6 linked regions of the Xenopus tropicalis genome follow. The protein of the gene in region 2 interacts with the protein of the main gene of each other region in a pairwise test. Links are inferred from orthologs where the notes say so. Each region holds a gene or a part of one and is shown on either strand. Other genes may lie near its edges.

What was found.
Region 1: the proteins of cep57l1 (region 2) and katnal1 interact in binary tests that used the Homo sapiens proteins (3 or more experiments, as listed by UniProt). The two-hybrid records come from large-scale screens. The link is inferred for Xenopus tropicalis from reciprocal best matches to the Homo sapiens genes CEP57L1 and KATNAL1.
Region 3: the proteins of cep57l1 (region 2) and golga2 interact in binary tests that used the Homo sapiens proteins (3 or more experiments, as listed by UniProt). The two-hybrid records come from large-scale screens. The link is inferred for Xenopus tropicalis from reciprocal best matches to the Homo sapiens genes CEP57L1 and GOLGA2.
Region 4: the proteins of cep57l1 (region 2) and mid2 interact in binary tests that used the Homo sapiens proteins (3 or more experiments, as listed by UniProt). The two-hybrid records come from large-scale screens. The link is inferred for Xenopus tropicalis from reciprocal best matches to the Homo sapiens genes CEP57L1 and MID2.
Region 5: the proteins of cep57l1 (region 2) and txlna interact in binary tests that used the Homo sapiens proteins (3 or more experiments, as listed by UniProt). The two-hybrid records come from large-scale screens. The link is inferred for Xenopus tropicalis from reciprocal best matches to the Homo sapiens genes CEP57L1 and TXLNA.
Region 6: the proteins of cep57l1 (region 2) and rad51d interact in binary tests that used the Homo sapiens proteins (3 or more experiments, as listed by UniProt). The two-hybrid records come from large-scale screens. The link is inferred for Xenopus tropicalis from reciprocal best matches to the Homo sapiens genes CEP57L1 and RAD51D.

What each region holds. Positions count from the first base shown.
Region 1 is NC_030678.2:154,249,870-154,254,602, reverse strand, and holds part of katnal1 (katanin p60 ATPase-containing subunit A-like 1), read right to left. Parts: intron 1,187-4,733; coding exon 1,060-1,186; intron 1-1,059. UniProt on the Homo sapiens protein: Regulates microtubule dynamics in Sertoli cells, a process that is essential for spermiogenesis and male fertility. Severs microtubules in an ATP-dependent manner, promoting rapid reorganization of cellular microtubule arrays.
Region 2 is NC_030681.2:77,965,026-77,970,279, reverse strand, and holds the start of cep57l1 (centrosomal protein cep57l1), read left to right. Parts: upstream 1-1,715; 5' UTR 1,716-1,800; intron 1,801-3,194; 5' UTR 3,195-3,203; coding exon 3,204-3,378; intron 3,379-4,482; coding exon 4,483-4,662; intron 4,663-5,137; coding exon 5,138-5,254. UniProt on the Homo sapiens protein: Centrosomal protein which may be required for microtubule attachment to centrosomes.
Region 3 is NC_030684.2:22,944,911-22,948,883, reverse strand, and holds the start of golga2 (golgin subfamily A member 2), read left to right. Parts: upstream 1-1,173; 5' UTR 1,174-1,309; coding exon 1,310-1,357; intron 1,358-3,973. UniProt on the Homo sapiens protein: Peripheral membrane component of the cis-Golgi stack that acts as a membrane skeleton that maintains the structure of the Golgi apparatus, and as a vesicle thether that facilitates vesicle fusion to the Golgi membrane.
Region 4 is NC_030684.2:40,364,633-40,369,365, forward strand, and holds part of mid2 (probable E3 ubiquitin-protein ligase MID2), read right to left. Parts: intron 3,923-4,733; coding exon 3,815-3,922; intron 1,966-3,814; coding exon 1,817-1,965; intron 1-1,816. UniProt on the Homo sapiens protein: E3 ubiquitin ligase that plays a role in microtubule stabilization. Mediates the 'Lys-48'-linked polyubiquitination of LRRK2 to drive its localization to microtubules and its proteasomal degradation in neurons.
Region 5 is NC_030678.2:86,590,731-86,596,209, reverse strand, and holds the start of txlna (alpha-taxilin), read right to left. Parts: upstream 3,502-5,479; 5' UTR 3,264-3,501; intron 2,885-3,263; 5' UTR 2,876-2,884; coding exon 2,749-2,875; intron 759-2,748; coding exon 462-758; intron 1-461. UniProt on the Homo sapiens protein: May be involved in intracellular vesicle traffic and potentially in calcium-dependent exocytosis in neuroendocrine cells.
Region 6 is NC_030678.2:94,393,147-94,397,879, forward strand, and holds part of rad51d (DNA repair protein RAD51 homolog 4), read right to left. Parts: intron 3,775-4,733; coding exon 3,713-3,774; intron 1,178-3,712; coding exon 1,059-1,177; intron 1-1,058. UniProt on the Homo sapiens protein: Involved in the homologous recombination repair (HRR) pathway of double-stranded DNA breaks arising during DNA replication or induced by DNA-damaging agents. Bind to single-stranded DNA (ssDNA) and has DNA-dependent ATPase activity.

The sequences.
Region 1 (4,733 bases), on a different chromosome or scaffold from region 2:
AAGCGCATCTCCAGGGGCTGAGATGTGGCAGTGGAGAATACACCATATGTGCCATTGGCCTGTGAGACCTGTGGGATCAACAAGCTTTGTGCAGTATTATAATCCCTGATGCTGCACTACGATATTTATATCATAGGCTATAGCTGCCAACTGCAGCTATAGCCTATAACTGGCAGCTAAAGCCTATGATATAAACAATGTACCCTAGCCATAAGGTCTTTGCACAATCTATAACAAACAGCATTAATGTATTTATGATTTTCCCTGTGTATGTCTGTTTATGTGTGTCTTACTCCTTGACATGTGCCCGGGGTATGCCTTTATTGCAGTATGTGCCAACTACAAACATCTAATTGCAGATAGGTACCTACACAAACAGCAGGGAATTGATTGGTGGGAAGGGGCTAAACAATAAGTGTAATGTGCTGTTGGTGTAGGTTAATGCATGCAGTTTTATTTAAAGGAGAACTAAAGCTTAACTAAAGAACTAGGTCAGATATGTGTACATTATGTGTTGGGCTTCAGTACCAGCCCAAGGCAACCACAGCCCTTTAGCAGGGAAGATCTGTGCCCCCAAAGATGCCCAGTAGCCCCCCATCTTCTTTTCTGCTGATTCCCTGCACATGTTCTGTGCTGCTGTCACTTACCTGAGCTTAGGGACCCACTCACAATTAGTAATTCATATAGATAACTACTACATGGCAGCTCTGAAACCAGTCCTGAAGAATCTGTTTATATTAAAGGCAAACCTCATTTTCTGCTGGATAATTTGTAAGAACCCCTAAGCTTAGCTTCCCAACAGCTGCTTAGAACACACTGAGCATGTTCAGTGTCACTGACACTCCTAACAAAATCCAAGATGGGGAGCTCCAGTGACAAGTTTAAGGGATTGGATCATTGCTACTATAAAGATGCTGAAACTTTAGGCTGGACAGTAAGTTCAGGATATAAAATATGGCTTTTATAGCCATATTCATTTTTAGGGCTTAGTTCTTAATTCTTTAAACTAGACTGAGAGGCTTTGTTGACATAGTCCCTTTCCCATTTCAGCCACTGTACCTGCAAACATTGGTTATATCTGCTCCGGAATAGCCTTCAATCTTCTGAGCAATAACTTCAAGGTCGACGCTCGGCTCCAACTCTACTTCCCGTAGATTTATTTTCAGCAGCTCTGCCCTTCCATTAGCTGGGAAAACACAGCCAGAATGTTACATGTCAACATATCCAACTAGAAGCCCAACAGTGTAACCAGATCAATCAGGGGACTGCCTGTCATTCTCTCAGCCAATCATCCCGTATTTGTGTATTGGAAACATAATTAAATTAAATGTTAGCTGGCATGTATCATCGGTGGAGAGCAATGTCAGGTTTTTAACACAAGCCAACTGACAGAGCAGAAGGGATTTTATCTGGAGCAATGAAAGGTAGCAGTGGTTAAATTCCTATGGCAGTATCAGCAATATAAACCCGGATTTATGGCTGCTCAATCAAATAACTACTCGTACAGTATTTCAATGCAGATGTCCCTTTTAAATCTGTGATTAATGTTATATACGGTTACAAGACAATGTCATCATAATTTCCTCGATACATTAGGTCCTTCAGAGGATATTGGTTACATTAAAGACACTTAAGAACAAGCCTGTGCGGCTCAGACACTCATTGGCCATGCAGTCTGTTCCCTGCATGTAATTGTCCCAGGTGGAGGAAAGTACATTGAGCTTCCATAATTTATACTTTTATTCCTGTCTGCTAGTAAATGTCCTTGAACTGCAGGAATATTATGGGAAGCAGAATTAATAATAACTGTCCTAATGACTTGCGTCTGGCCAGTTAAAAGTAATGTGCTGCCTATGGAAACCAGCGGTGTCCTACATCCCGCAGCTACTCGCGTGCTACCAATCCACCGAAAATGTCACTGTCAACTGAAAGGGAATGTGCTGAAATATTTATCTTTACCACATTTGTGTTTGTTTCAAAATCCAAAATGAAAATATAAATACTAAATATATTTTATTAAAAAAACAGATTCTCAATCTTGTCAATCAATAGGAAAAGGCTTGGTTAAAAGGGAGCCACCTGAAGAGTTAAGGCGGTGTCACAAGTGCCGCGTCTACGACAGCGGAGAAAAGGCTGATCCGCTACTGTCTTTCTGTGTATGCATGGGATCAGTCTGCCAGCACAAACACGGCCATATTGCTACATAAACACATCCTTTTGTGTTTCCATACATACGCTTGTGTGTGTGCTGACAAGGTAGAAAGGAGCTGACCAGCATTTTCTCCACCAGCATTATCTGTTCCAGCAGAGAAAATGCCAAAAGTGCCATTAAAAATAAAGGCCTGCTTTCAGCAGAACAACTAAATATATCTGTAGGTGCCAATAAACCTGCACAACAAATAGATAAGGGGATTACTGCTGGCGCTCAGCATTTACAGGGTTAAAGGTGGCTATACAGGGGCCGATTGCAGCTGCAATTTGAGTCATTTAGACCCATTCAGCAGCTTATCTGCCCATGTATGGGAACCCCTGACTACCCTGCCCAACCGATATCTGGCCAAAAATCAGCCAGTTATCGATCACACAGGTTTGATTTTTTTAGTCGGATCAGGGACCACATTTTGATGCGGTCCTCATGTGACTTTTCATATACCCTACAATGCGATTGTTTGGCCCTAGGTGGGCATATCGGGGGAAAGATTTTCCTGTTTGGGGACCTTGCCAAACGAGCGAATCTTACCATGTATGGCCACCTTAAGGCCTAAGGTGCATTCTTTATTCATGCGTTCTGCATTCTGCATGAAGGGAACTTTAGATGTTTTGCCACCTGTGCTGAAAAAGATTAAGGGGCAGATGCTTGAGCCCCTAAGTGCAAGGGGCAAAATACCCTGTGTGCCTCTGCCCTAAAGCAGGCCAAAGGTACAGGGTAAAAGAATGCAAATGTAGTGAGCCATTCTACCTATGGCACCTAGCACAGTATCTGTCTGTTTGGCCCAAGGGGACAATTAATCAGATACAGTACAGGATCGGCCAATGTATAGCAGCCTTCTGCTAGAGGGAGAGAATGCTATCAGATATGAATCCCTGAGCCTAGCCAGCTTAGAAACTGTTCTGGTACCTCCAGAAGCATGTAATAAACTTGCACACAATTAGACACACAAATACTACATATATCTATTAATGTACAGGTATGGGTTATATTACCTTGAAACCCATTTTCCAGAAAGTTGTGACATATACAATGCAGTATGAATGCCTATTTAAGCAAACATTGTTGCTGTCTAAGAACCTTGCAGCTGATGGAAACTAAGCTGAATCCATATTGGGTTTATCTAATATTGAAATTATATGGTATGGTATTTAAAATTATGGAAAGATCCCATATCTGGGTAACCCAGCTCCCAAGCATTACAGATAACAGATCCTATACCTGAACACTTAATTCAATTTAGAGCTTAAAGTGTTAAAATCATCACAATCAAGACAGATCTCTATTAACCAAGTTCTTATACGGCATTAAGCATGATCCTGGCAGGCTGCATTACATACTGGGTACAGGCATGGTGGCACACACACGTAACACAAGGGCTCAGGCTGTTGCATTCTGATGCAGCTGAAGTCTAGACAGTTTAGTCACAATGTCCGACTCTCAATGAATCACAATGATCCTGGCCTTTGAGTAAAAAATCACCAACTTATGTGCCTGGGGTTTTATCATTGCAACTTAATTGTCTTCGGTTGTTTCAGCTCATCTTGGATTGATGCTCTGCTTAACAGCCCATTGACGTGCCAGTAAATATGTCACTGAATCAGAATTGGATTCAATTATTTTAAAGCATCCGTAGTAAAACACAGCAAAATAGTAACAGAGATTCTCTTGGGGCGACAATTCCATTTCAATGTTTAATTTCACCTGCTTGGTCGTTTCCACTGTCGCACTGCAGTCTAAAAGTTTGTCAGGGGCGTGAGTACTTGTTGGGAATTGTTTTCATTTACTTGTTGTTTCCGTACGGCACTAATGTGGCAGTGGCCATTAGAATGTTAATAATCTAGAACTGGCAGCAGGAGCTTACAATTAACTTTAAATTAATATTATTTATATTACTTATTTATATTACTTCTCTTCCAGCCCTCTCCTATCAATCCTCCAGGTGGTCGTGCCAAACACCACCTAAGTGTGACCTTAAAGGACAAGGAAAGGCTAAGTCACTTGGGGGGTGCCAAAATTTTAGGCACCCCCAAGTGACTTTAATCGCTTACCTTGTCCCCCAGGCTGGTGCCCCTGTTAAGAGAAAACCACACCAGCCCGGGGTAGCTGTAGCGATGCGCTTCCTCCTTCCTGCTTGTTTTGCCGGCAAATTCCCGGGGCAATCACATGCGCAGTAGAGTGAAAAGCCGACTTTATAGTTTAAGTTCAGCTTTTTCACTCTACTGCGCATGAGCGCGAGCGAAGCAGGAAGGAGGAAGCGCATCGCTACAGGTGCCCCGGGCTGGTGCTGTTCTCTCGGAACAGAGGCACCAGCCCGGGGTAAAATGTAAGCGATTTAAGTGACTTGAGGGTGCCTAACATTTTGGGACCCCCAAGTGACTTCGCCTTTCCTTCTCCTTTAAAGGGGTGGCTCACCCCGTTTAGTTTGGTATAGAATGCCACATTCCTAGCGACATTGCATTTGGTTTTCTTTATTTACTTTTTACAGATTTTTGATTACCGTATTTGCCTTCCCCTTCTGACT
Region 2 (5,254 bases):
TTAAACAAACATTTGTTGTGCACACTTGTGCAAGCTGGAGCGTGATCATTTCAGAGTGAAACCTGCCTCCCAGTTGCAGTTCTCTACACTGCAATCATTTGTCCTGCTCTCACTATTTTCCGTCAGTCCCCCAGACCATGTCAGCATTATATTCTTGTTTTCATTTTCCTCTGTTTTCCAGATCCTTCCAACTGCTTGTCTCTTCCTCATACAAACAGGGAAAGTGGAGGCGGGCTTAGCCCATGGACTGATTCCTGACAGTTTAAATCGTAGGCGGCTGTTCAGTCACCTTGTAAATGGGAACCTGAATGACAGTGCTGATACTTCCAAACATCTCAAGCAGCCCGATCAGATGACTTGTTAATAGTATGTATGAAAAGTCACAAGCAGTTGTTCATCAGAGTATGTTTTAAGAATCCAGGGTACTTTAAAGCAAATTTACACACTTTTTTTTGCATAATAATAAATACTGTAAGGAATTTCCAATAAACATTTAACATTTTCCTGGTTTTCAAAACTCTTGAATCTCCCCTGCTACCTCAAGCTCACAGGTTTACCTTGATGTTTAATTGTCCTGGGAGGAGCATTTGTGACAGGCACGGGTCAACTATAGGCACTGACGCGCATTCCTCTCCTTGCTCCTGTTTACCGGGTCAGGGGCTGAGGGTGCGCTCTGTCTTTTATCAGGCAGAAGAGGCTGCTGTCTTTATTTGTGTGCTGGGCAGTTTCACCTTTCCACCCCTAACATATATCTCTCACTTCTGGGAATCTCTGGCAGAGCACAGCATGTGCAATAGAAAACAGAGGTATCGCTGATCCGTTCATAAAATATAACAGACATTTTAAAGGGACCCTTATAAGTTTGGGAACCTTAAGCTGGCCTTGTTAATATGGCTAGAAATTCTAGTGGTACATTAATATTGTTTTGCTTACAACTGATTAAGAATAGAAGGAAATAACATAGATTAATGTACCACTGGAATGGGCCCTGTTTATAACTTTGGAAAATACACAAAACTGTTGACATGTCTGAAGTTGATATGCCCTTTATCAGTTTTATTTAGTAATTTTACTGGCATGTCTGGGGTTAATATGCCCTTTATCAATTTAATGTAGTCATACTGGCACCTTTGAAGTTAATATGTCCTTTATTCATCTGGGGCATGTAAAGTGGGTGTGGCATGCAGGGGCGTGGTCACAAAGCAGGCATGGCCAAAAAATGTTGCCGCACTACCCGCGTCACATATTTTTGTCCCTCTTTCTCTTAATGAAATGTTGGGAGGTATGCCCTAATTTGCTCAGAAACTTTTTGGTCAAACTCTCTTCTGGGGCCCCCTAACTTTCTGCTGCACAACTAACAAGTAACCCACACATATAAGAGTCAAGGTCAGAGGAAATGATTAGTCAATCTCACTCATTAACTATTGCCATATTAGCCCCTGCTTAAACAAAAACACTAGGTCCCTCAAAGTACAAAAACCTGAAATGATGACTAAAATTCTACTTAGCGCTAATTTGGACAAAAAGGCTTTCCTTTCTGGGCGATTTGGGAGAAGAGGCTTTTTTTTAGTTCCCTGGCACAAGACATGACTTCTGATAAAATGTTGGTAGCCAGGAGGCGAATGGAACAGCAGGTAACCGATACAAACATTAGTCTCTCTCTCTCAGAGCGGCTAGGGCCGCGGCGCTGCAGTTACCTGGGAGCGTGACGCCATAATCTCGCGTGATGAGACTTGAGGCGGCGGGGTTTTCAGTAAAACAGGAGGCAAGGCATTTGCCATTAACAGCTGAGCGAGAGATGTAAGTAGCGATCCGGGACTAGACTGCGTGCTGTGTTAGGAAAATCGGGAATGATAAGTGGGACAGTCGGGCGGTATGCACTTAATTGGGTTAGCCTGACTTCAGAGACCCAGACTTCGGAAGATTGGTTGCTTGCTATGTTGCATGCATGGGCTTTGCTCTACACAGCTTTCAGTACTGCTCGTTTTGGCATTGGAAGTTTTAGTTTCTGTAGAGTTGCACAGAGCTTTCCCCTCAGCCTATCCAATTTTCATCCAACTTTACCTGGACTAAAACTTCTGTGACAAAACAAGGGGTACAAAAAGCTGTTAAGGGGAAAGAACACTTTAGGGGTATATTTATCATGATGTGTAAAAAGTGGAGTAAAACATTACCGGTGATGTTGCTCATAGCAGCCAATCCGATGCTTTGGTTTTCTAACTGTTGAAATCTTATTGCTGATTGGTTGCCCTGGGCAACATCACCAGTAATGCTTCACTCCACTTTTTATACAGCATGATAAATATACTCCATAGACACCCTAACAACCACCCTTCCTTTCAAAGTCTGCAGCTCACTGACAGCAGGTTAAGTGCTGCACAGCTGGGCAATGACACATGATGAGATTAGTCACCCCGTGATTAATCTTCTCCAGTGGTGGCGGCTAGTCTCCTCTGAATGCTTTCCTACTGGCGACAGAGTCGGAACTAGGTGGAGACAGAAAAGGCACCTGCCTAGGGTGCAACAACGGGGGTAGCCAGGTAGTTACCTCTTCTGCCTACCCCTAGTCCATGCAGCCATGCTCTCTCACCCCTGCAGCTAGTCACTGCGTGTTCTCAAGTATGCCGGGTGAGTGCTGGGGTGAAGAGGCTGGCCGGGTTGCCTAGGGCGTCCGTATGGCTTGGTCCACCCCTGACGGTTTATAATGTAAATCGCCAGTAGGAAAACATGCGTTGCTCCTGCTTCAGAAGTTGCCTCGCGAGGAAACTGCCCAACATCAGAAAGCCAAAGCGAAACATAAATACGATTTACACCAGTAGAAAAGCATTCAGAGGAGATTAGTTGCCACTGCTAGAGGAGGTCAATCACTGGGGGGTATATGACTTACGAAGCCGTTCAGCTTTACATAGGTGGGTTACATTTTTTTTTTAATAATACATTTCATTGAGTCATAACTAATTGCAGATTAATACTGATGATGTACCATTTATAATATATTTTAAAGGGCATTCAATCAGAATCACATCTTTATTGACATGTTGTTAGGGACCACAAGAAAAAGTGCCTGATCAAATGCAAAAAAAAAAAAAATCGGTGATTTCATAGGTATAAAATGGTGATTTTTATTTTACTGTAATTTGATTGTATCTTTTCTCTTTTCCTTAACTGCATATGTGTTTATATTCTCCTCATAGCTTCTTAGGATGGAATCGCTGTCAAAGGAAAGTTACCTTTCAAGTTTTCACCAGTTTCCTTCGTATGCTCCTTTGCCTGACCATATCAAATTTGAATCTGTATCATCCAAGAAAATACAGTGTTCTGCACTGGAAAACATCAGTCCTCATCAGTATGACATTCTTCAAGCACCAAACAGTAGAGGTGATGTAAACTTACTGCTCTAAAAGAGTATTTGGTATCCTAAGCATGAAACATGAGAGACATTTATTGGTATAATTCCACAGACAATGAATGTCAAAAATACATAATTGTTTCCAAACTACTAATTGGTACATAGCACAAGCCCTGTGAAGAGGTTGAGAGGGTAACCCTAGATAATCTTCACTACCTTCTGGAGCACTAAAACATTATTTTGCCCAGTCCTGCGCTTAAGGGCAAATGCCCATACCTGGTGCACTCTTACCTTCCAACTTGTGCCTGTATGTTACCCAACCACTTAGATTGTAAGCTCTACAGGGCAGGGACCCCCTTCCTACTGTGTCTCATACCACATGGCACTTATATATTTATTTATTTATTGTATTTATTTATTATATCACTGTGTCCTCCCTGTGTGTAATTTTGTATTCTGTAAGATTGTACAGCGATGCGTACCCTTGTGGCGCTTTATAAATAAAGTTATACATACATACGTACAAACTCAACCTTCTGGCAAACAACTTGGTATTAGAGACCAAGTATATTCCTTGTTACTGTTTATTTTTTCTTTCTTAATTGGCTTATGTACAAAGTGTTTTTTTTCCTATAATACACAACTATACATTGGCTGGGCACACAACAATCCACAAACTATACCACTGAAAGGACTGTTTCTTCAACAAAATATGGACCTTTAAGTCACGTAGTTAGCGTAAGCTTAGGCAACTGGATTAATGTACGATGATACTATGTAAATGGTATTGACATTTGCACTGAACAATATACATGGAGTTTGGTATGCACTGCACAACTATTGATCAAATAAAATAAAAATACTTAAAAAAAAAAAAAATTTGCATCCTCAAGAAAAGCAATTGACTATAAAAGGTGCAGCCACTGTAGCTATATGAGTGCTGTATTTCTTCCAAGTATTTAAATAGCTAGAATGCCCCAGGCATTATAAATGTTTTTTTTCCTGGGGAATCAGGGCAGATACATTTACTACGCATCTCTATGTTTGGGCCTGTTTTTTTGCTAGTTTATTTAAATAACAAACAAAATTACATTTTTTTAATAATTGAATCATTTTGTTGTCATACCAATCAGCTCTAATTTCTGCACTGAAGACTCTTCAAGAGAAAATATGTCGACTAGAACTGGAAAAAACTCATGCTCGTGATCGTTTAACAAACTTGACTAGAGTAGCTGGTGAGCACAAAAAGGTTCTGGAGTCTGAGAAACAGTCTGCAGAATTGGCTGCAAAGGAAGCCACAAACCAACAAAATGGTAATGTGGCCCATATCTATTTAACAAGAGTTTTCACCGCTCAGCAGTACAGTTTTGTATTTTGGTAGGAAGTATGTATATTTTTATTCATATAACACTACTTGTGTATGCAACGCTGTATAGTAGATATACAGTATAACTATGTTGCAAACCACAAATAGTCAACATTTGGGAACCACTGCTCTGTTTTAAATCTTTAGAGCAGTTCAGATATATATATTTAAGGCATTGAAAGATATGCTTGGACAGTCCTTATTTTTACACTTATATGGAATACACTAGCTGTTCCTTAAAAGCATTACTTAAAAGGATTCATAAACCAAAATTCACTGTGATAAAACCTTTTCTGCCTGACCTTTTGCCCCCTCACAGTGAATTTGGGTTCTCTTGTCTTTTGATGAAACATTTGCATTGGCTGTATTTCCAAGTTTTAGCCATTAATTTGCTCAAAATTCCATTTCTTTTCTTGACCTAGATATTGGCAAGCAGCTAAATAATGCCAAGCAGCGGTGCTCATTACTTGAGAAACAGCTAGATTACATGAAAGAAATGATGGAGAATGCTGATACACAAAAGACCACAATTCATGAGC
Region 3 (3,973 bases), on a different chromosome or scaffold from region 2:
ACATATAAGCAAAATTATCCTTGATTTTGCTTTCTAGGAAACTTTTCTTTTCTTTTTATAGTTTATCCACTGGGCATAGTTAGTTAATTTGTTTTTGTTTTGTTTTTCTCTATTTTATTTCTCTGTAAGCATTCAATTTCTTCATTTCTTATCTTTTTGAAGGACAGACTGTCGAATGTGACTATTGTTGTTCAACCTATATTTAAATCATTTGTCATTATTCATCCTAGAGGTTTTATGCAAAAATTCAATAAAATAAAAAAAAAAGAAGGAAAATTACTACATGGCTGCTTCCACATGCCCTGTATTGCTATGTGAAGCAAGCTGGAGGCAGGAAGTGCCATAGCATGTGGGTAGGTGGTAGGGAAGGGATAAGTGGGAGCCAGCAGTACTTAATAGAAAGTAGCTCTTGGCCTGGGACTGTTTAGTCTTTCAGCCATCACATCTACAGAGAGACATGTACAGTATTCAACCCAAAATTGCAGGACATGCAGAAAGATTAATGAATTCTTGACGATTTATGTTATTGTATTTGTGTTTATGTATTATCTGAGAGTCTCCAGTATCTGGCGCAAAACCGTGTGCCTGATTTCACCTGGCACAATTATGCTGGAATTTTGGAAAGGAATGTTTCATTGTGTTTAAAAATCATGGGGAATGGTGCCAGTTTTTTGCATATTTATACCTTTAGAAAATGAACCTTAGTAATTCCAAATTTAGCACCTGGAAAAGAAAGAAGAAAAATATGATATACGATGTAACTTGTCCATTGTTTTTGATATGTCTGTATTTTCCCATGAGCTCAGTTTGCATGTGCACCTAGGCCTCTGACACCCACTGGGTAGAATAACTGCATAATGTCTATTATATTCACAGTTTTTCCAGCTGCAGTGATGAATTACCTGATACATTCACCCCTCATTAACATTATAATTGCATTCTAGTAACATGGCAGTGTCAGACCACTTTTCCTGTTAGGTCCCGCTGCTAAGCAAATAATCTGCATTCTCTTGCTTGATGTGTGAAATCGCCAACATAAACATTAACAACATTATTAAAAAAAAAAAAAAGCATTTTATTTGAAATGATTAAATAAACGGTCAGAGATTTTAAAAAAGAAAAAAGAAAAAGAAGTGCAGCTCTCATGAGGGAAAGGAACTTCCTGGCTCCTCCTACCCCCTTGTACAGCTGGCAGTGACGTCAGCGAGTGCGCGTTCTCGCATCCCCAGCAAGTGCGGGGCGCTGTGGGGGCGCGCTGGCGCGGTGCATTGTGGATACGCGGTGACGTGTTCCCCCGGCCGGACCCAGGATGGCAGACGAGAGCAGGCAGAACAAGCTGGCGTCGGCCCGGCGGAAGGTAAACTGTGCGGACACGGGGGCCGGGGAATGTGTAAGCCTGCTGTTGGTTTCGCTGTAGGACGGCCGTGGCGCAGTTGCCATACCCTAGTGTTAGCCAGCCAAGTTAAGGAGTCATAGGCCGGAGATGACAGGCAAGAGGGAGTGTAATGGCTCATAGTGTGTGGGGGCAGTTAGTATATAGGTAGGAAAGGGGGGCATTACGTAGGGATGGGCAGCTGGCATGCCAGAGTATGGGAGGGGGAGACATGCCAGTGCATGGGGTCTGACTAGTGACTGCTCACACTGCTGGGCATATTCAGCCTGGGGCCCTGCTCTGCTTGTTACACTACTGTGTCAGCACCCCCAGCCTTTATTGCCTGGCAGTGCTTGCTGGGACTTGTAGTCCTGCTGAGATATCTGTGGTGTGAGGGTTTATTGCTGTCATCTTACCCTGCCCCCCATTATATATATGTGTGTGTGTGTACCCTATATAGGTATGTATGCACACAAACTGAATAGAATGTTTGTATTTATAAGAGCTGCCCTGTGTCCTTTCTATTCCTGGGGCACCTAGCAGCCACAGGGGCTACTTCCTTGGGGGGCAGGTGGTGGGGGCAGACTGGGAATTGTATGTCAGCAGTAGCAGCAGCGTGATTAAGCTCCTTGAAGACCATGTTTATCTGCCCATATATGCGCCAGGTGGGCCTGCATTGACCTCCATCATGATGTGATGATTGGCACAGAGGCCAAATGATAGGACGGCGCCATTTGCTCACCTCAGCCAAAGATTTGCTTGTTTCTCTACCTCACCCAACAAACGCATCTATAAATCCTGCAGCTGACAGCAAAGCTTTGCGTTGAAGTAATTATGGTACATATTGCTTCGCTTTTGGTATTTCGAACAGGAGCTTAGCGGTATTATTACACATAGGGGATCTCCATACAGTTCCACTCTGCATAATGGAAGAAAAAAGAAGAATAAGCAACGTCCCAAAATACATTCATTAAGAAATGTCAAGGGCAAGAAAGTGTTATTCCCTGGCTGGTGCCTGTTTGGCAATTACACGTCCAAATACCCAGAAAACCACAGGATTTTTTACAGTCACGAATAATGGAAAGTTGCTTAGAATGACAGTTTTATATAGTGCAAGAAATATATATATATATATATATATATATATATATATATATATGTATATATATATATATATATATATGTATATATATATATATATATATATATATATATGTATATATATATATGTTTTATTTTGGCAGGGTTCCCCTATAAGCTAAGGCAAACGTTCATGTTTTAGTGTTATCAAAGGGACCTGTAGTCAACTGGACCATAGCGTCCTGTTCCTTGCAATGTTCTTATAACCCGCACTGTCATTCTTGTTGTCCTTATCTGTGTACATTTGGGATCAGACCTATGTGTGCTGTGCAGGTTGACCCAAAACCTGTGGGTCCGGCAGATTTGGGCTGACATTCCCACAACATTTATGTGTCGTGGGCAGTTTCAGTCTGTGCTCTTCCTTTTGCCCTTTACATTTGCAACCTTATTTTGCCTACTTCCGCCTCTAGGGGCAGGTGCAGGTCTATCATTTATTTTTCTCTTGTCCTCAGCAAAGCAGATGCTTCAGACATCTCAGTAAGAGCTGGCTATTATTATGGGATATGATAATATATACATCAATACTACTACAACCAATTTATCATTTAAAAACACCACACAGATGATAAGAGAGAGTAGGTGTGTCTGTTTCTTAGTTGAGGGGAGGCGTTGCGGCTGGCATATGGCCACTTGTATACTAGAAAGTAAGGCTAGAAATAAAATAAATGCGGGTGCAGGGAGAAAGATGTTATTCTGGAGGCTTTTAGAGTAATTTTATGGGATTTTAAAACAAAAGGGCCAACAGGCCAAGAATCAACCACTACAATCCAATCAGCATTTAGATATGCCCACACCCTGAGCCACTGTATCGCCAAGGTGCACACAGCGGATTTCAGTGCTGAAACACGTGAGTATGCATTTCTGCACATTTTATAACTTATAATGTAGAGTTAGCGGGATGCAACCTGGATCCAAAAGCTGCGTTTATCCCTACCCTGTGGCACTCACCCATTCAAAGCAAAGTTTGGCCTCAACACAACCTTCCTGCTACTGTTCCCAGTCCAGGCAAGAAAGAACCTGCAATGTTGCACTAGGGAGTTTATTCATTTTTGAGGGAAGAGGAAGATGGGACAGACCTGCGGGATTCTAATGTGGGGCAATGTGGGGGTGCTGACAGGTCACAGAAAGGAAGGAGGACAGAGTTGACATGAAGGGGAAGGTAACTGATAAGACCAGAGAGTAATCGGATGCAAAAAAAGTATGACGGGCATTAGGAATGCTGGAATGTTGCAGTACAATAAGGCTGTTGTTCTCTATAGAAGAGCCGGGGCCTTGCAGAGCCATAGCTAGAGCTTTCCATGTCCCTCTCCTGTTCAACTACCAGTGTTGGATTTGTCACTTTAGTACCAAATGTCTGATATAGAACAAAAAGCTGGATCCTGTTGTGGGGCCAAACATCTCTGCTTTTTGGCACTTAGCAGGGAGGATGCCCACTGTCTGAAATGGCATATATTTCCCAAT
Region 4 (4,733 bases), on a different chromosome or scaffold from region 2:
TACCCTGAAAACAAGAGAGATTTCAAGTTGCAGACTGGAAATAGGAATGCATGCAAAATAAATACTGAAGATCAATTGAAAAGGTACTTAAAATAGGACAATCTATACCATACTAACATTTAGTTTCATGTTAACTTCCCCTTTAAAGTGCTAGACCCAAATAGAGTACTGTTCCACGCACTAATATTCAGACTCAGTGTGAGTTTTGGGAGCGTTAGGATAAAGCCAGACTCTTCACTCCTCCTGATTTTCCTACTTCCATGTACAGGAGACCAAAACTGCACTTTACTATCTAGAAAAAACATTTTTCTCAAATACAGAAGCAGAATACAAAGTGAGGCACGAAAGAGAAAGAGACTCCTCCCTACCCAAACTTTATATTTTATGGATGCTAGGTTTAATATTTGATCAGTAGTATGTCTCTTTGAATCAGGGCTGCCTAAAACCGAATGCAGCTGTCTAACTAAGGGCCCCCTGGCCAGATATATTCCTCCAGGGTTATTATAACCAGGCAGGTACAGAAGTATCTGTATGACATTATTTTTATATAATGCAGCCAACATAGCTAGTATATGAAATAATGACCCTACTGAAAAGGTTGACAGCACTACTTTGGTAGCATTGCGGCTCATTGAGTAACACTACTGGGGTCCTGAGTTCACTTCTAGGTAGAACGCTATCTGAGTTCCTATGTTCTCCCCATGTCTGCATGGGTTTCTTCCCACAATGTACAGGCTCAACTGTGTGTGAATGTGATAGGTTCATTACCTGTACTAGAGCAGGGACTAAAGTATTGTCTCTGTAAAGTGTTTCAGAAATGTATTATTGTTTTATAAATACCAGGATAAAAATGAATAAAATCTGTAAATCGAAACTGGATGTTTCTTTACATGAAACAACTTTTGGAAACTTTTAGAACTATAGTATATAAGAGGTAACACAACCCCAAATGTGGCTGAGGAGTTCTGCAGTCATATATTTAATTCTGAGGTGACATTAAAAATACTTTTTCAAATACTTCTAAAATAATTTTAAAATTATTTTTTTTTTTAAATTATTTCTTGTAATAATACATAAGTATCTGATACTAGAAAGTCTTACATTAATTAATGCAAGAATGAATACAGCATTTTCATATATTGCCAATATGTACACTATGTACCAAACCTTGGCTGGTAACAATCACCAAAAAGACTTTGCTCACCTTTACAGCTGGCCCAGGCAACGTGAAGCAGGAGGACTATGTTGTCCCTTCAAGATATGGTTATATTACTTTTTTGTCATATTGGATCATCAATTAGACATAACTAACACATCAGTTCTATTTTTTCATATAGGTATATTTCACAAAATATCTTTCACTTATAAAAGAATGGTTAGACTGCTTTTTAACCATACTAGACTGTTTTTTTAAACATACATTGCTGAGAATAGAAACACTGTTACTAAATGGAAGGAAATAGAGTAATGCATCAGGAGACCATGATTATGCAGGCAATGGCTGTGAAATGTCTAATGGGTTGAAAGTTCAGCCCCACTGGGAGGGATTCATGACAATCAATTAGAGTTAATGGTTTCTTAATTTTTTACTTAATCTGCCAACAGCTACTATCAGCCAGCAATGTCTGACAAATAGGAAAAGCTGCATCAATTCATTTACTAGAATATTTTTTAATAGTTGGATGTGAGGTTCCCAGTCTCTGCAAGCCAAATACATTCAATGCCATTGGTGAATGCCAAAAAATGCCAGACTGGCTGTATTTAACCCTACATAGTATATCGACAGGCTAGAACATTAAAGCAAAAGTTTGCTCACCTCTCTGCTACAGTTTTAGCTCCCTGCAGAAACCTTGCATGATCGCTCTCCTTGAGTATATGATCTGTTTGGTTGATTAGTACTGTTGATCGTTCCAGACGTTGACGACAATTGGCAATTTGTTGAGCAAGTTTTCTTAACTTCATGACCTTAGAGATGTTACAACAGGTATTAGGAAGAGGTTTAAACTGTTTACTGCACATTATGTACATGGATCAGAGCAGCCAGATGCATCTCAGATCTGATGCACTCTGGTATTAAGATGTACAGTGCTAACAGAGAGGTTTCCCTGGCCCCCAAGGATAGGTGGGAACATGCCCAGATTAGAAGACCAAATCTCCAAATACACAGGGTTCCGAATAGGGTTCTATGGGGAGACTAGAATACTTATTCTATAAACCCTGTAATGGATCCAGCTTGTCCCACCACTGAATTGGGAATGAAAAACTGTAAATGTGCTATCCAAACCAGGTAGAGGTCTCCCAGCTGCTATTACTTTTGTAGTAATGTTGGGATGGGATCCCAATAGTAAGTCTTTGTGAACTAGGACACATCACTTAAAGAGGGATATCGTGGCAGATTTACTAAGGAAAACAACAACAGGTCCTCTGCACTCACAGGGATTGTTTGTCCATATATTGCAAAATACTTCAAGCTCGTCAATTACATCAAAGTCTTCCCTAGTCTGGCCAGGGCTACACTCACTTTTATCTGATTCATTAAGAATTTTACTCTATTCTGTTCATTTAACAAATGGACTGAGTTAAACCCCCAAATGATTGCCCTTTTATTGGCTCCAGGGGATCACCTGACTGTAGCTGGGAAGGATGGGAGCTGACCACTTCTCCTGTATAACCTATAGCAGATGACCTCTTGCTGTTGAGTGCAGAGGACTTTTTGTTGTTGTCTATATAAGTTTTGTGGTCACAGCCTCATTGCAACCCCCCCAATGGTTTAAAATTTAGTGCTGAGCATTACTTCCCCTTTCTTGCTACAGATTTACTAAAGGTTGTAGTTTTTTTTCCCTGCACAATTTAAAAAAAAAAAACCCACAAAAAACACAAATATATAAATACACCATATAAAAGCTGTCAAGGACATGTAGATGTCAATGGAACTTGTCCTGGGCAAATTGTAACAATCTTTATTTACTTTGTGTTTTTTTTCTTTTGTAAGCACACACAAATTCTTACAAAAACAAATAATTCGAGGCTTTTGTGTTCTTAGAGAAGTTTAGTTATGTAGTGTTTTATTGAAAATTTTCCCAGAAACCTTTGAAATCCATCTAGTTCCACCCATCTGTTCCACTTCCTGCTAGCTGCTTTCCCAGGCTCTGCAGGGAAGCCAGTGGCACTCAGCACTGCAAGATAGGAACCAATCAACAACCAGGTATACCTGGCAGGAAACTATGGTCTATCTTTGCTTGTGTGAATGCAGGGCTGTGATTGCCTACCCACCTCCTACTAAGCACATGGCAAAGGACTTACCCACTACTATTTAAAATTCAGACATGGAAAGAGGATTTATGGGGATCTCAAATAAAGGGGTAAAGATAATAATATTTTTTAGTGCAGATTAAAATCAGCACCATATAGTATTTATCACTGCCTACAAGGTTATGGGGATTTTGCCATAAATGACCAATCTGCCCCTTTGGTGAGGTTGCCAAAAGAGCAGATCTGAGCCCAATTTGGCCACCCAAATACTGGCTGCTTTTTGCCAGATATTATTTGGGCAGGGCTGTCGGTGGGCCCCAAATATGAGATAAATTGCCGACTCATTCTGAAGACACTAAATCAGCAGATTAAATATGCCTGTGTATGGCTACCTTTATGCCCCATGTCCTCTTTAATCTACTGGCACACTTCCGGCACTTACACACATCAGCTGCTTTAATAACTAAAACTTTGAGTAGGAGAAAAGTGTTATATAAATATTTTCTATCCTATCTATCCATATCAGTAAAAGAAAATATATTTCACAAAAAGGAACTCTTACTTTTGTCTCTTTGATTTTCACTGCTATCATTTGCTTTCTTCTCTGTATGATGTCCATTAGCTCGTCACATTCTTCATTCAGTTTTGCTTCATGCATGCTGGTGTTTACCTGTACAACAACATTATACCAAAATGTATCAGACAGGATGCCCCCTGATTATTGTGATTGTTAGACCGGTGTGACCTTGTACAGCAGCACGCTCAATGGATTCTTAATATAGTCATTCTACTTTGACAAATTGCACCATATCCCTTGAATAAATAATTTCCATCTCAGTAAGACCTCCTGTCATTAGCAGCTTTATTTTAAATTCAGAGTCTCTCTGTTATCTAAAAAAGTATGTTTTTAAGACTGGCTGAAGATGATGTATCACATCTGCCATTGTTTTCGGATTTTCTACATAGTACTATTTCAAGAACTTTGCTGTTTGTTGTTATTATCAGATGCCTGCTCCTGTCCAATTAGTTATACAAGACAAACACAAACAAGATGCTGTTTTTCTGTTCTAAAATATATCAACATTTTCATGGGGCTTCTGTGCTTGACTGTAAAGGGGATAAACAACTCGTTTATGCTGAAGGGCAGACAAGCAAAGCTTCCCCCCTGCAGTCTTTTCATATTCAGTATTTCTATCCAAACAGTCACAAGACTTAAAATGTTAATTCATATTATTCGAAAAGGAAAGTATGCAAACCTCTGACTTACTACATAGAAGATATGGATCTGCCAATGTTATACATCTCTTTTTGGAATAGAAAAATGGATACATGTATTGTGATATTTGCAGAACAAGAATATAGGATAAAATCACTAACTTGCCTCCAGATTAAACATGTGATGGAAAAAACAACAGATATTGTATTGTATTTTATCCCAATCGATCGGTTCCAAATGGTAAATCAAGTTTTGTCGCCTTCAC
Region 5 (5,479 bases), on a different chromosome or scaffold from region 2:
CATTACAACACTCTACATTGCCACTTATAGGTAGAAAAAGGGTAACAGTCAAGAAATACAACTAAGTTAATACAAGCTGGTTAGTAAAATTATTATCCTATGATGAAATGTGTAAAAATATTAACATCAATAATTTAAGGACACATTTGGAAATAATACTGCCAAGTATATGCAGTAAATGTGAGACAATTAAAATACTACAAATACAAATTTTGGGTGAAACAGCTGACAGCCTGACATAACCTGGGCCCACTGAGAAATGGATTGGAAACACCTAGTCTATAGAAATCTTTAGCTACTAGACATGATTAACAATTCTCCACATTGTTTGAGGCAGACGCATTGTGGTGGTCCTGAAACGGTCTCATTATGTAACAATGGAAAACAATATTGAACAATACCTCAGGTCAGGGATTGTAATGGCAAGTATGGCATACTTGACTTTAAAGGTTTCAACTTACCCAGACCCTTTGCCTTTTTTTTGTCTTGCATTCGTTTCTGATCTTTTTCAGTCTCGTTGATGGTTCTACTGTCTTCTAAAACCCGCATTTCCTCCTTCTCACCATTAACCTCTTGGACTACTAGTTCAGTATCACCATTTTTTGGTGTCTCCTGGGCTCCCTTATCTGTCTCCTCCGAGTCTCCTGCTCCTTCTTGCTTGTCATCAACACAATATGTACTAAGAATATCTTCCAGCTGCCTACTTAACTCTTCAGACACATCACATACAGTAACAGAATTACCAGCTGCTCCTTCCACTGTAAGACAACCAGGCAACACATCAGCTGATTTTAAATCGGTAAAATTGATAGTATAACCAAGTAAAGTAATAACCAAAAAGTAATAACCAAAAGTAAAGCAGAATTCACACCAATTTTGAATTAATTAAGAGGAATTCACAATACAGGTGAAGTTTTACACTGAAGCAGTAAGCTATATTAATAAAGCACTATATACCTCTGAAAGGTTAACTGCAATGAAACAAATGAAAACAAGTCCTACCTGATAGGACTTGTTGCTACATCGGAGTTAATTCTACACCTGTGTTGTAAATTCACCTAGCAAGTTTCCAAGTTATTAAAGTTAAAGTCGCTAACCTGGCCATAAATATGTACACACTAAAGAGATCAGGCCACAAATTCAGAATTGCTTATTGAACCCACTGTGTGGTGGGTCAGATCTGACTATCTTGCCCTTTTAGACCCATATCAGCTCAGGCTGATTGACCACTGGGACCGCGCCAAGTACCTGACTGTCTGACATGGAAATATATGGGCCTTTGTAATATTCCATATCAGAGTTGTTCCTGAACTTATGAATCATGTAAGGTTTGTGACATAAGGGGAGATTAGTTGCTCCGTAACAAATCTCCATTATTGTGGTGCGACTAATCTCCCCGCAGTGCCATCCCACCGGCGATTTACATTCTAGCCGGTGGCATGGCATTGCGGGGAGATAAGTCGCGCATGACTAATCTTCCAGTGTGTCACAACCCTAAGGCGTTAACAGTGACTCTGATCTCAGGGTAGTGTATAATATAAACACAGATGGAACAGTGCAACAGCTGACCAAGGGCTATCACATCATAAAATGCAGTTACTTTTTAAGTCTATCTCCTAACGCTGTTGTGTGAATTAGATACACCTGTGATGGACAAGGAGGAGACCCACAGACCAGTATGAAGTGAAGGCAACAACTGTAAACAAAGGAACAACAACAAAAGGATGCCCAGCAGGGCGAAAAGGCAATGAATAGCAATTTGCTCATACCCTCAAGGTGGTAGAACAGGTTTTTAGACCATGGGAATAAAGTTCAAGAATGAGAATCACAGTCTGTACAACACTGTAACCTACATGACACCTTTAAAGGAACAGTAACACCAAAAAATGAAAGAGCTTTAAAGTAATAAAAATATAATGCACTGTTGCCCTGCACTGGTAAAACTGGTGTGTTTGCTACAGTAACACTACTATAATTTATATAATAAGCTGCTGTGTAGCCACGGGGGCAGCCATTCAAGCTGGAAAAAAGGCGAAAAGGCAGAGGTTTCATAGCAGATAACAGATAAGTTCTGTAGAATACAATAGTGTTTTATCTGTTAACTGCTATGTGCCTGTGCCTTTTCTCCTTTGAATGGCTGCCTCCATGGCTACACAGCAGCTTATTTATATAAATTATAGTAGACTTTCTGAAGTAAACACACAACTTTTACCAGTGCAGGGCAGCAGCACATTATATTTTAGTTACTTTTATACCCTTTCATTTTTTGGCGTTACTGTTCCTTTAATACCATTATTTGGGAAACTAATCATCTAAAGGACACTACTAACTTGGAGAATTCTATGGGTCATCATACAACATCAACCTAGCTGTGACTGTTCTTTGGGTGTGGCTATCCTGGGAAAGGGCTAGTAAGAGTTATGCTTAGTTGAATGGTATCCCTCATGTATATAAACAGCATTTGTTAGTGAAGTACTTTTCTCTCCCTTCTATTGCACCTTTTCGTTTCCCCTTTTACCTCCCTCCATTTTAGTTTCCCCTTTTCCTTTTCTTTTACTTTATTATTTTGTAAACACATATACCACTTATTTAAAAATCAGGCTACAGGGTGGAGCTTGAGAGAATAGTCTAAATGACTGATAACTTTAATGAACTAAAGAAGGTCTTGACCAAAGGTTGAATCTTCAATGCTGGAAGGCAGAACTGAAAAAATCCGACACCCACTATAAAAAAAATGCTACTACTAACCTTCAGTAGCAGGGTGACAAACTCCAGGTGTAGTCACGTTCTCATCTGTGGCTGGAGGAAGTGAGGGGCTTGATGAGGTAGGGGAAGGCCCTTTGGCTGTGCCATTCTCCAGTTCTTGGTCCTTCATGACTCACTTCTAACAAAAGGTAACAGAAGCAAAGTATGGCATGTAAACAAGAAACTTCACGTTTTTTTCTTAAGAATCTAGTTAACCCTGTATGTTTGTAGGTATAAAACAATTCAATCAATGAACCTTGTTAGCATTAACCACTAACTTATCAAGTAGTTAACCACCTAGAAATAGATAACTCATAAGCTGGCACATTGGATATGCATAGCTCAATGTGCAGAGTAACTCCAGGTCCGGCCCATGCCATGACAACCCTTACTAATGTAGGTTTTGGGGCAACTACTAGTCTGCATAATGGGCACTCCACACCTAAACTGAAGATTTGCATCCCCCCACATTTTATACTTCTTAATTGTTTTATTTATGCAGGGCCACTACATGCTACCTGTTGTCAGCAAACTTGTATGTTGTCCTTGTCGCTCTACACACGGAAGCTGCACCTCAAGCGATGCAGCAGTATGACAAATGATGTAGTTCTGGTCTGTTCCTTGTGTAAGCGCTGAACTGTACACTTGTTTCACACAAAGTTGTTGTCCCTGCCAGTGAGGTTGCGCTGACTCCTTTTCCCGGAGGACACGATTAATAACCGGATTTACCTCACTCTTGCATCCGCTCCGGTAACGCTCACTCTCTGCCGGAAGCCACAGGCACAGGCACAAATCCAGGCCGCAAGCCGGACACTTCTTAGCCAATGACACGCAGCTCCAACAAGCCTAAAGGCCAATGCGCTCTCAGAGGCGGGTCTAACGGAAACCTCTGCGTTCGGAAGCAAGATTTATCGGCGCTGCTGTTGATTATAAGGAAACAGAAACTGTATAGGGCGGTAGCAAAGGCGCGAAAGTAAAAACTACAATTCCCTATAAGCCTTGTTTGTGCGCAGTCGTACGCATGAGTACCACCTTTTTGTGCGCTCGTTTGTTATATATAACTAAGATTCATTAAACTGTGACCCTTGATTTGACCCTGTTCATATAGTTTTCTCGTTTTAAACAGGTTATATTTATAAAAATAAAGCAAAGGCTTATTGAAAGTTTTTTAACATTTCTAAATTGAAATAATATGCCCTTGATACCGTTTCTTTTTATTAACATTGTTAGTTTGTCAGTCACAAGAATAATGATACCTCAAACATTGTTTCCATAACTAATAACATATTGACCCCCAGTATTTCATAAAATCCTAGTGGCCCTAGCAACAAAGACATTAGCAAGATGGGGCTGCTAGTGGGGGTCACCCACTCAAAAACGTGTGGCCCATTTTGTTTTCAATGCGGCCTTGCTAACTGCGATTTTACTGTGGAACTCACTGTTTTTCCAAAATGCAGCTTTTTTCCCTCAGAATTCCAGCATTGTTGTTCTCACATAGGGACGTTGCGCCTGACACAATTGCAGGCACAAGCAAAACCACGCCAAGCCCAACTATAATGAAAATGTAATAGTTTTATCTCATGGAAATGAAAAAAACTTTAAAAATATAATCAATTAAAAATTCTGCTAATATGCTAAGGGGCATATTTCTTTTATTTGGGCACAAAATAAAATAAATATGCTGGTAGGTGGCAGGGGCCTACCACGCAGGGTCCCTGTGTGACCAGTGGGCAAATAATTGGAGGGGAGGGTCCTGCTTAGTAGTATGGGCCTCATGACTACTGCTGGCGCACTCCTTTCCCATATCACAGTATACTTTCATGGTATCACATTTACAATTATTACAGCATTATTTATACTACTTTTAAGGTACCTTAGTATTAACTGAAGGCAAAGCTCTAAATAAATTTTTGGATGTTATGGGACATCAGACGGTAAAGGTGGGGGTCTATGCAGAAGAAAAGAATTGGGCTGCAATGATTAAAGGAAGAATGGTATACAGTGGATGTTGGGTTGAGATAGAGTAGCATAATATAAAAGGCAAATGTGTGGGGGGAAAAAACAAAAAGTGGAGTAGGGTTTTTACAATATACCCCCTGAATAGCAATGAAAGTATGATTATTGCTGGCCAAGCTGGCGAAATATTGCCTAAAAAGTCAAAAGCAGAAGAGAAAGTGGAATAGGTGAGGTCAAGTGAGGTTAAAGTAGGTAAGGGCATAACAAATTGGAGATTATAAAATATATTGACCAAAATGAGACAGAGGAAGTAAAGAAATATCAGAAGAGAAAAAGAAGGGAGCATGAGGAAAGAGAAGTAGGAAATACTGAAAAGAAATGGTGGTTGGAATGAGGTAAAGGGAGAATATAGATGCAGCCAGTTCCCGCTGCCAACACCCACTGTATAAAGCACTTAGGGCTGTGGCACACAGGGAAATTAGTTGCAACTAATCTCCCAGAAATTCCATCCCACCACCGAGAATGTAAAGGCCCCCTTTTTCCATTTTTAAAACCTCCTCCCAGCTCCATTCCCCATCTGCCCTTGGATTTCCTCCCCACTTCGTCTCCCACCTGCTGTCACACATCCTGCCTGCACTGCCCTTATTTGCTTTGAGACCTACTAAGAGGGCATAAAAGGCAAATGGTAACTCTACAGAAATTGGAAAGATCCACAGCCGAGATGGAAAAAAAAATGGTGCAACCAATACCAGGGCATTTCAAAAAGCTGTGTGAAGGA
Region 6 (4,733 bases), on a different chromosome or scaffold from region 2:
GTTTGTTTAAGTAATTGTTACTTGAAGTTCCTAAACCTGACTGGTTTGCCAACCTGACGGTCCCTTCTCAACCTGTCACTGATAGTGTCTAATGCTAACAAAATACTGCTGCACAAATATGGCAGCCCCCTCATAGAGGAACATGGGGGATCAGATAAGTAAGGTAAAATCATCAGGCAAATACTTTTAAGGCAAAATTGTAAATAACATGCAAAGACTGATAGGGTTTAAATTGCTAAATGCTGAATTTACACAATTTTGTTTTCAATCATGAAGGCCTGTGTATGTATTACTTCAGTTGTTATGATTATCCTCACTATCTTGTCTGTCCAAGTTGCTCCGGCCTTGATTATCTCGGCTAATTTTCAAGGCTAAGAAATCATAATAAGCTTCAGTAGCCATTTTAATGAATTTCTCTTATTTGCTAATAACTGTAAGGCATATGTGCCCACCCATGCTACGTAAGCATAATGGGATGTGTTTACCTATCAACTATAAATGTAATAACAAAACAAAATAAAGTTGAACTTGTTTGCAATACACATACTGGTTGTATCGTTTGTACAAGTTCCCTGATCAGCGCACATGCACAGATGATATCAGATGTTTCGCCGACGCACAGATTAAATCGAACCGGTTCGTGACTGCTTAGATACAGTGCACAGAAGCACAGACAGAGTTAAAGAGATTAACCCTTACAAAGACAATGTTATGACAGATGTTTACTTTCATGAATGGGAAGCAAATACTCAGACCATCATAGCAGTAAAAATTCAGGTGCGTCATAGGCTTAATTTTGTATGATAATTTTTTGTTACTTTATAAACTGGTTAAAACACACTTAGTTCAGTATTGTGTGTGCTAGTCTTTTTTTTAATCTTATTTTTTGTGAGGATTTGTGAGACGTTCAGACATTCCCACCACAGACCTGCAAAAGACTGATCATGGTTAGTACCTTTTTAGGATTAGTAAAATAAGCAGCTTTGAGATTCAGCACAAAGCAATGTGACACTACACTTTTCTAATCATTTTTGCTTATGAGATGAACATAATCTTACTTTCTGTTGCCTGTGGGTAGGATGGCTGTGGAACTCTTAAGCTCTTCATACACATCAGCTCCACTGGAGGGAAATGCAGAGTACTGTGCCAGAAGAACACGCCTCACTGCCATTAATGTCTGAAAATACAGTACAATTCTAAACACACTTTTAAAATAGAGTGACTCTTTTTAGTTCCCTTTAATTAAGGTGAGAAGCTGGAAGTTTCCAATTTGCCCGCAAACCATCACAAAGGGAAAAAAAACACATGGTATATGAAGTGTAGGACAAATTACTTTGTGATTATATAATTGCTTAGCTCTAGGGGGCAGATTTACTTTAACATTCCTCATTTTTTTCAAATTTGAATAAACTTATTTTCACTGTCTTACATTTCTAAAAAGTCTGAACTGAAAAAGTTTGCATTGGAAAAGTTGCAGAAGAGTCATGAAAATTCCCAATATTTCGACTTGTCCTATGAATACTGCAACTTTTTCAAATTGTCAAACAAAAAAACAGCATCAAAAATCCCAAACTTTTAAACTTTCAAAGCAAAAGAAGGATCATCCAGGGAAGGGACATATGCCATTGACTACATGATCTTGGCAAGTTTTAGCTAGTGAATTGCTAGATTTAGATTTTTAGCCGTTTTGACGCATAGTAAATCTTGGAAAATCACAAACTTTTTACCTGCAAATTTTAGCACTAAAAGTCTAAATGGAAAAAAAAATCTGACAGTTAGTTAATGGCCCCAGTCTAATGCAACCTTTTAGTACAGAATCTTGTTAAAGGCAAGCAATTACTGTAGATCTAGGAATACTGCAATAATAGACGCCAGACAAAGTAGTCCACATAGTAACACTGTAATTTAGGAGCCATTTATACTTCTGCCAAGTGGGTCTTGAAACTCTGACTTCTCTATCGCATACACTGAAAAAAAGAACTGATTATGCCTTTCTACCCAAATTATTACTATTTTTAATGAAGCCCCAGTCTTAACCTGTATGGGATTGGTCTTTGAAATTTGGTCAGTCCCTTATTGGTTTTCTTTACCTTTTTTGATTGTTGTTTTTCAACAATTGTTGAATTGTTATATTTTTTAAAAGAAGCATTGTTGCCCTCTGACCTATTCCTACTAGCTTCCGTACTTCTGATTAAAGCCATATAGGGTGGTCCTTAATACTCTTACTGTGTAAGAGTAAACAGGAAAGATTTAGCAGCATTTTAAATGAAAACCATTACTTAGTTTTTAGCATAAAACTATGCACTGAGGTACTGATCTTAATGTGTTTGTTGACCTAATGTATATTTATTTTTTGCAATAAACATTAAAGTGGACCTGTCACCCAGACATAAAAAGCTGTATAATAAAAGCCCTTTTCAAATTACACGTAACCCAAAGTCATTTTTTTATTAACACATCTATACCCATTATATAAGCATTTTAAAGCCCCAGCTGTCAATCATATATTGCCTGACCCACCTCTATGCCTTAGGCATAGGGGTGGGGCAGACAGTTACTTTCACTTTCAATTCAGAACTTCTTAGATATCACTGCACTCCTCACATTCCCCCTCCCTCCTCACCATCTAATTGTGTAACCAATGCATAGATATATGTATCAGGTCCCCCCATACTGGCACAGAAACAAGATTTTAGCAGGATACACAGCTTGCCTTAATAACAGTGTCCACAAAATGGAGCCTGCCTGTTTTCTGCAATTGTGAATTCCAGTGCTGAAGGAAATAAGTTTAAAATAATTTATAAAGTGTAATTGAAGTTTATTTTGCTTGATAAACACAATAGAAAACAATTTGTAATTATTTCTTAGGGTGACAGGTCCCCTTTAAATGATGTAACGTTATGGTCCTCAGAGTTTATATTACTTGTACATTTGCTATATGTTCTGGGTTGTTAGAGATCATTAGACCCATTATAACATGATTCCCAGTTTCATCCTAACAATCTGTTACATAAAATGGTAAATTAAGAAGTTTATAAACTTGTTTTCATTAACTGTCCTGACAGTACTGTTGCCCCAGTCAACATCTAGGTAGTTAAACTCTCCCGTTATCATTTCATGCCCCAAACTAGCAGCCTTTTATATCTGCAACAGCAGCTTAGCCTCTTCACTTAAGGTCCGATTCTAGCTGCCGATATCAGTCCCTTTAGACTGATTCGGCAGCTAATCGGCCCGTGTATGAGCACTATATATCTGGCCTGAAATCGGGCAGATCTCGGTCAGGCAGGTTAAAAAATCTAGTCGGATCCAACTTTGCCTATACCCGCCGTAATAATTGGATCATTTGGCCCCAGGGCCAAATGATCGAATTAGCCTGGATTCTCCCGATATCGCCCACCCGTAGGTGGGGGATATCGGGTGAAGATCCGCTCGCTTGGCGACATCGCCAAGAGAGCGGATCTTAAGGTGTATGGGCACCTTTACACAAGAGGTCTGTAGCATACCCCTACAATTAATTTGCCTAAGGCTTTACAATCTGTTCAAATTGTCCCCATTGACTTCTCTGGCAATTAACTAAATTAACTCATGCAAGTACCTGTCAGGCAATTTTACTTAGAGACATAGCAGTCTGCATTTTTGTAATAAGATATGCAGATTAGATAAGCAAATCAAACAAAATCTAAGAGAATTTTAAAGAAAAAATATACACCACCTTGTATGACAGGGAGCATTTTCGTGCAAGCTCTTCCAAATCAGAAGCAACCAGATCAATGACTAAAAGTTAGAGACAAAGTATTATAAAAATATCAAGACTGGCTTATTGAACTCCATCATTTATATTGTTTAGTATTAGTTATGTTAAAGTTTTCCATTAAATAAAGAACAGTTTGTAATGTTAACAAGCTGGGTGTAAAAATAAGAGTCTACAGGTATTAATATGTGTCTAATTTCTAGTCTTTTTGTTTGTACACAATTACAGTTAGACAATATGCAGGGTACAAAAGTTACAAAACCAATTAAATATATAATTGACAGTCTAAACAATATAATGTAAATCATTTTACATTGTGTGCATAATGTCTAGGATTGTGTGAGACTGTGCTTATCTGAGTGTTTGCTTGTGTGTATGCGAAAAAGAATGTGACAACCACTCCAATATCATTTAATATGTGCCCCATGTAGGCTGCATTGAACCAAACCTACCATATCTAAATAAGGTAATAACATAGGTTAAGAAGTCTACCATTATTCCAGAATAACTAATCAATGATAAATGTAAGTAAGCAAACAGTTCAAACCAGAAGAAGAAGCTAAAAGATTTCACTTCTTAAATCGTAAGCTCTTGTGAGCAGGGCATTCCACCTGTTGTCTCCTAATAATATGCAATTGTAACTGTGCATCTTTTCTGGTGAAATATTTGTTTGTGCGTGTAAAGGGTTAAGCCTTATAATTGTATCCCTTTATTTTGTAAACCGCAGATAATATTATGGTCCAACCCTATGAATTTCTGCTATATCTGTGATAAACATTTCCAGAAAAATCACCTAGTAAAGTTGTTTTATAGCATGGAAAACAAATTTTCTTTAATGTTCCAACAGAAGAGTCAGCTTAGATTTCGAGACCTACTCTTCTGCAAAAAGGCACTTTTGCTGCTCTATATTCATGATCTAGTGACAGCCCTTGAAATAAATGAAACTGGGGGTAGAGTTAGCAGAACACAGTTTAGCTTGACA